2 linked regions of the Coturnix japonica genome follow. The protein of the gene in region 2 interacts with the protein of the main gene of each other region in a biochemical or structural test. Links are inferred from orthologs where the notes say so. Each region holds a gene or a part of one and is shown on either strand. Other genes may lie near its edges. The genes, in order: RCC1 and RANBP3.

Evidence for each region.
Region 1: the proteins of RANBP3 (region 2) and RCC1 form a complex in vitro, tested with the Homo sapiens proteins (2 studies listed by BioGRID). The link is inferred for Coturnix japonica from reciprocal best matches to the Homo sapiens genes RANBP3 and RCC1.

Annotation. Positions count from the first base shown.
Region 1 is NC_029538.1:1,935,823-1,938,783, reverse strand, and holds the end of RCC1 (regulator of chromosome condensation), read right to left. Parts: intron 2,829-2,961; coding exon 2,682-2,828; intron 2,442-2,681; coding exon 2,322-2,441; intron 2,017-2,321; coding exon 1,864-2,016; intron 1,371-1,863; coding exon 1,195-1,370; 3' UTR 765-1,194; downstream 1-764. UniProt on the Homo sapiens protein: Guanine-nucleotide releasing factor that promotes the exchange of Ran-bound GDP by GTP, and thereby plays an important role in RAN-mediated functions in nuclear import and mitosis.
Region 2 is NC_029543.1:272,134-276,413, forward strand, and holds the start of RANBP3 (ran-binding protein 3), read left to right. Parts: upstream 1-1,237; 5' UTR 1,238-1,348; coding exon 1,349-1,370; intron 1,371-4,280. UniProt on the Homo sapiens protein: Acts as a cofactor for XPO1/CRM1-mediated nuclear export, perhaps as export complex scaffolding protein. Bound to XPO1/CRM1, stabilizes the XPO1/CRM1-cargo interaction. In the absence of Ran-bound GTP prevents binding of XPO1/CRM1 to the nuclear pore complex.

The sequences.
Region 1 (2,961 bases), on a different chromosome or scaffold from region 2:
AGTGTGTGTGTGTGTGTTGGGGACGGGGGGGGAGGTTGCTATTTTTTGCTGGAAGGGGTATAAAAATAACAGCTCTGTTTATGGAAATGAGCCCATCCTCAGGAATCAGGCCCAAGGAAAGGAGCTGTTCCCCCAGCAGGTCATGCAGGGTGATGGAGGAGCATTGAATGGAGGGTGGTGGTCTCCAGGAGCAGCGTCAGGTTGGGGTGAGCCCATGTTGATGGTGATTCGTAGGGAATGGGCTCCTTGCTTGGCAATAAGGGATGATGTCTGTGATGTCTGGGTCCAGACACAAACCTGCTCAGTGCTGCTGGGAGAGGAATAGAGCTTCATGCTCAGCCCTAATTGCACCTCTGAGCTCATCCCTCCCAGCCTAAAACGTGCAGAGCAAAGGGCTGCGGGCAGCAAACCCCACACAGCACCCAACCAAACCCCCAGCCCAAACTGCAGCCTCATTAAGGAACCTGCTCCTTAATTAACAACAAATAAACACCTCCATGATTCAACCCATCAGCTTCAACACTCAACTCCAGGCTCTTCCATTCTGCCCGAGCTCCCAGCGGTGTCAGGGACAGCACGGGGTGAGCAGGACCCCATAGGGACCCTCCCCTCCTCTCTGCCACCCTCAGCTCTGCTCCCACTGCTGCCATCCTGCGGCCGAACCCCACAGCTGCACACACACACACACTGCATCACTCAGCACTGAGACCCACAGAGCAGCCCCACAGAGCAGCCCATCCTGCACAGCACAGAGGGAAGCCCAGCACTTATCAAAACTTATTTATTCCAAACGCCTAGAGATTTTTTTTTCCCCTCCCCCCCTTCCCTCTCTTCTTCAATCAACCAAAATACTTTTTACATTTGCTTTAAAAAAGAAATTCAGCATCAGCTGCTGTACAGCTCCCAGCCTCCTGACCAGCCCCAAGCACACACAGCTTCCAATTCCCCCCCCCCCACCCCTCACTTATTCTTAAACTTAATGTATAAAATCCATCCTCGCAGCATCTCCCTTCCCAGTGCAGGTACCTGGAAGGCAACACAAAACAGAAGACGGGGCACCTGAGAAGACACCTCGGCCTTCCCCCATTGTGGTTTGGGAGACAGCAGAGCTGGGAAGCAGCTGCCCGAGGTGGGGCTGATGGCAGGAGGAGGCACCCGTGGGCTCCATGATCCCACTGCGCCCCAATGGAGCCATCAGCTCCGTGCCTTGTCCTTGACCAGCAGGGCTGTGTGTTGGCCTCCACTGGACACAGCCAGGACCAGGCGGTTCTCCAGTTGTTTCCCTGTCATCTCCACGGGGCTCCAGACGTCCTCCTCTTCGCCGGTGCCCAGCTGGTGGTTGGTGCCCATTCCCCACGCGAATGCTCGTCCTGCAAAGGAGGTGATGTGAGTTTGGGCTTTGGGTAGAAACAGCATCTGGAGCTGGGCAAAGGGGGGAACCAAAGGGTTCCAGAGGGGCAGGTTGAGGGGGGGAAGAGGAGGAAGGAGGCATCTGGGCCTCCCATAGAACACTGTTTCATTGCATGGACTGCCTTAAAGCCAGCAATGCAAACACGCCAACGTGCTGCCTGTGCTCACACCACAGCAAATCCTTCTTGCAGCTGCAGGCACTGCATACAGCCCACAAAGAGCTCCCATAGAAGCATGGCCACGGCTTAGTTCTCTGACCAGCCCCACTGGGCTCTGACAAACCCAGTCCAGTGCCCATAGAAACACATTGAGCAGCTGCTGCCTCTGGGCTGGTGCCACCTGGGGGCTGCAGCAGCATAGGGAACGAGCTGAGTCCCAACCCAGTGTGTGATGGAGCTCTGGGAAGGGATGGGCAGAGCCCTGGGAGAGGTAGATGAGGCCCCCAGCACTCACCATCACTGCTGACAGCATAGCCGACCGATGCACCACATGCAACAGAAGAGATGTTGGGGAGGTCTGGGATGACAGTGGGTGTGCTCTTCTCTTCTGCCCCTTCCCCGAGGCCCAGCCGGCCGTACTCAGCCCTGCCCAGGCTGTAGGCTTTACCTGGGGTACGACAGAGAGAGCAGGAGTGGTGAAGTGAGGAGGGCAGGGACCACAGGAGGCTGGAGGGCTGCAGACAGACCCCTCCTGGCCCAGGTCTGACCATGCAGGAGCTGGGAGCATCGCTCCTCCCTCCCACATCCCTCAGCAAACCATCAACTCTGGGCTCCCCAGTGAGATACAGAACTGTGGGGGGGACTCAGAGTATTTCAGCATTTCAACCTGACCCCAAATTCTCCCCCATAAGGGACTGGGATTCTAAGGAACCCCACTCTGCTTGGCAGCCCCTCCATCCCACCAATACTCACCCTCCGAGTCCACGCAGATGGTGTGGTGCTGCCCACCAGAGAACCCGACCCAGGACTTGGTGGAGTTCTTGAAGGACGTCAGGTTCTGTGGGGAGAAGCAGGGCTCGGTGCCCTGGGTCCCTGCAGGGTGAGATGCACAAAGCCGAGCACATCAGGTATGGGCACTAAGCCATCCTCACAGGGCTCTGACCCCACTCACACAGCCCAGCCCAGCAAATGAAGGGGTTGGGAACCAAACCCAGAGCCTCAAGCATGATTTTCCAGCTCCTGCAATGGGCACTGGGTATGCACAGTAGGATCAGGTCCATTCTGGAGCCCCACCAAAGTAGGGAGAACCGCAGGGATGCAAATGAAACTCACCCAGCTGGTGGTAGTTGGAGAGGCCGAACCCATAGATGTGTCCTTCCCGTGTGATGGCAAAGGTGAAGTAAGCCCCACAGAAAGCATCTTGGAAACGCATTTTGCCTTTGCTTCTGACAGGGACACGCTGGGGGACCAGCAGGCGCTCTGGGGATGAGAAACAAGGCATCAGAAGAGAGCTTATGATTTACACCCTTTTCCTCTCCTCTCAGTTGCAGATCACTGAATTTAAGCAACCAATTGACAAACAAGCCCTCGAACAGCCCAGGAAGAGACAGGG
Region 2 (4,280 bases):
CACTGTCAGTGCCGTGCGTTCATTAGGGAAGCACAGCACAGCAGTGCCCACAATTAAAGCTGCCCAACTCTTCCATGATAAGAGCTGCCATCTCTCACAGGTTCCACCAGCTTCCAGGCTGTGAAGCACAATGTTCTGCGATGGAGAAACGTACCAGAATACGTGCTTAAGTTCAAAATGTAATTACTGTTTTTTAGATACTCACATAACGGGTAATTATACTCACACCAATTCAGTAGTGTTTGCCTCAGTTTGTAGGACATGTCCGCTTTGGGACAGGCTTTAATTCCACACAAACTGGAGCAAATTCAGCCACATTGTGAATCTGTGCAAATGACGGTTCTTGTGTGATGAGACACGAGAACGTGCTCAGCTCCACGCTCTGCAGGTTGTGTGTAAAGAAACACATCACGCTCTGGGCACCGTGTGTGTTTGGACATCGCAGCTTCCAGCACTGACACCTGTGAGCTGCTCGGGGACGTGAAAATCACCATCAGACCTTGCCGAGCTGTTCAATATCCAGCTGTTATTGCTCAATACCCAGAAGAGGCCCCTCGTCACTTCTATAGGTGACAATGTCGGTCATGGCACTTTGCAGGCTGAGGGAGCTGGAAACAGAGCTGCTTCTACAGCTGGAGCTACTAACGCCCTGCTGGTAGGACTGCTGGTATTAGGGACTATTAGGAACTGCTGCTCCCAACATGGGAACCACCATCCCACCCATGCACGGCGAGCTCCAGGACTTCCCTACGTAAAGTGCGTAGGGTACGTAAAGTGCGTAGGGTACGTAAAGTACGTAGGATACGTAAAGTACGTAGGGTACGTAAAGTGCGTAGGGTACGTAAAGTACGTAGGGTACGTAAAGTGCGTAGAGTACGTAAAGTGTGTAGGGTACGTAAAGTGCGTAGGGTACGTAAAGTGCGTAGGGTACGTAAAGTGCGTAGGGTACGTAAGCGTAGGTCCTTGAGAATCACAGCGTGCCGTGCCACCACCCCCGGGGGCAGCTGTGCCCGCAGAGCGCACGGCTGCAGCCCTGTGTGCAGAGCCTGGGGTGGCAGCATCACGCACTGTACGGAGACACGTTGGTTGGAGCACGGAAAGCGCGGCGGGCCGCAATTCAAGCTCCTGCTGACAGAACCGCAGCGCCTCCAACCGGCGCGACCGCCCCAAAACGGAACCACGTGCCACACCCGGCCCGCCTCGCGCATGCGCGGACACATCCGCCATTATTGAGCGCCCTCCGCCCCGCCCGCCCGGCCGTTCACGCATGCGCAGAGCGGCCGTAAATTGGCCGGTAGTGGAGCCGTCCGGCCGCGCGATGCATCTCGGGAGTGATTGAGGAAGTAAAATGGCGGACCTGGCCAACGAAGGTGGGTACGGGCAGGGATAAGGATCAGGACAGGGATAGTGATAAGGATCGCGGCTGGGATCGGGGCGGGCGGCCGCTGCTGTGCGAGGCGCTGCCGGGACGGGCCCGGCTCCAGCTCCAGCCTCGCTCCGCGTCCCGCCCGGTCGGGTCCCGCGCTCCGCTCCGGGCCGCGCTCAGCGCAACGACTCCGTGCGGCCTCACGGCGCCCCGGGGAGCGGGCGGACAAAGGCGGCGCCGCCGGGACGCGCTGCGCTGCCCGCTGTGCTCCGCGCTCTGCTCCCCGCGGGGCCTCCAGCCGGGCCGGGCCCGCCGGCTCCATGGCGGCCCGCTCCGTTACCGCCCGGCCTGCGCTGTCCCCGCGGTCCCGGGGCTGCTCCGAGCGGGTCCTTGCTGTTACCGCTGCCGCTCCCTTTGATGCTGGGAGCCCTGGGGGCTGCGTGCGGCCGGACGAGGCGGAACAGGCGTTTCTTGGCTTAGAAACGTTGGGACTAAATTGCTGCGGAGATTCCAGAGCGCTGTGGGGCTGTGGGTGCAGCACGGGGGGGTTCGGCCCCGAGGGCTGCGGGCGCTGCTTAAATGGCAGCGGGCAGCAGCAGGTCGGGCAGCCCCCGCTGGGCCCAGCTCGGCCCGCAGCAGCCTGCAGCCGTTCTCCCAGTGCGGTGGGTGCAGCTCCATCCTCATCCGAACGGGAGGAGCTGAACGCAGTTTAGGAGCCAGAACGGACAGTGCTTCCATTCGGTGCTATTCCTGATGCTCAGGATTTCTGCCAGTGGTGTTTACAGCCCTGATGTTAACGTTAGACAGAAGGAAGTGTCTTTTGGGCAGGATCCCACCTGCAGCTGACCACAGTGTTACACCAAAAGCATTGGGTGGATCTTATGATGCAGCACACGTGGGGCTGTTGGCTCCCAAATTGAAGGGATGCTGTCAGTGCTACCTAAAGCAGAGGGAAACCTGCTGATGGCACCAGGGCTTGGGAGATGAAATAACACCTTCTCTGCCAACACAAGAGGTTTGTGCTTTAAAAATGGTATGAAATTTTCTAATTACTCCTGGGTATGTAAAAGGCACCATGTGCCCATAGCGGCTGTGGCAGCGCTTTGTAGAAGTTGCCTGTTCATATGATCAGAGACAAAAAGGGTTTGAAGATAAACCAGATTGTGTCACATGCTCTATGTCTTGAAAGCAGAGTCCTCAAAGTGAGGCAGCAGTATCTACAAATATATTTTTTCTCCCCTTTTCCCCCACCATCCTGTTGTAATTTATATTCACCATGACTTCATTGGTGAGCTCCGGGTATGAATGATCCAGTGTCATTAAGTATGATCGGACTTTGCTTGTGGGGTCTTTTTCAGTGATCAGCTGTTGGCTTCGTAGCTTTCTTCTTGCTTTCAGTCTATTCATAGCTATTGGAAGAGTCTGGTTTTGTTACCTGTCCCTTTGGAGTTCTATAAAACACAAATGCCCAGGTCTCTTCTTTAGCTTGTCCTTCAGGCCCAATTGTTCTGCCTTGGTTAACTTGGAGCAGTCTGTGTGTGTGGTTGTGTTCTCAAATCAGATATTATCTGCTTACCTGCATTCTTTTCCTTTGTAAGCTGTTGCCATCAAATATTCTTCAGCTGACGCAGATTTGGGTTCCACCACTTTTCTCTGCCATACTGCAGTATAAAGGGAACACCTGCAGTTATTTTCCAGGCCTGATGCCATATGGGCTTCTATACGTATATAATTCAGCTGCTATTTCATAGTTGATTTGAGTGGTACCAGAGCAGGCAGGAAGAGCAGACTGTGTGGTGAGGAAGTGGGGTTGCTGAGAAGATGATTATTGTCCATAGAACCAGCACTTCATTCTGTTTACAACTAACATCCTTCTTTTTTTTTCCCATTGATTTTATTTTCCAGATGTTTTGAATTCTCCTTTTTGCCCAAATCTGATGGAAGGGTAAAGAAAACCTTCTGAAACATCTACATAGCCATTTTTTTCCTTCTATCTATAGTGTGCTGATCTTACATCAAGCCTTAACAAGGATGCATGTTGCTGCTTCCTCATAGCCCATTCTGTAGGGATCCCCCCGGCCTTTTTCCCCCCTTGTGCTGTTTTTCAGGTGATTATCAGCTGGTTTTGCTGTTCATTTGTGCGTTGGCTTTACATTATTTTGGTGCTCATCCTGCTCCCACCAGCTGAGCTGAGGGAATTGAGCTCCATAAGGAAATATTTGCAGCGCTGTAGGTGCCTTCCATAATGGGTTCATAAAGGGACACGTTTCTGATATATGTGCACTCGGAATCTCCGTTGGGCTTTTCAGTCATGGGGCACTTTGTGCTGCACTGAAGGCTTAAATCTTTATTTCAGAAACCATGCCCAGCCCCTGTGGCTGTGTGGATGTCAGCTGTCACAGGGGTAAAATGAGGTCATGTTTTGTCTGCTTGGAGGGAACGTGGCTGACCTTGTAGCCTCAGAAACAGCTGAATGTAGTCACACATCAGAGTGAAAGAAATAAAAATCTCACTTAATAGAATACATGATTGAAGATGTGATACCTCTGAGCAATTGAGGCCCTGATTTGGTTTCCAAGGCCTGTGAAGTAAGGTGATGCTGTATCTGTATGTGTGGTAGTACATAAGGCATGTTTGGATGTTAACAGTGAAGTGGCTGATAGCTCTGTTTTGCTGTACATAAACCTTACTGTGCCTGGTGCAATGGAAGCACACTGAACATGGAAATGTGGCTTGTGCTTGCACTGGTCACTCATCCAGTGCAAGCTGGTAAATGCTTTTCAGCACAGCAGAGGGTGAGATCAGTGTAGGAGAAGGATAGAACTGAGGCAGGACACATCACATCTGTGGTGGTAATGACTGGGAAAAGCACTTGGGAGGAAGGGAAGGGGAGGACAAGAAATGAAACAGTTCC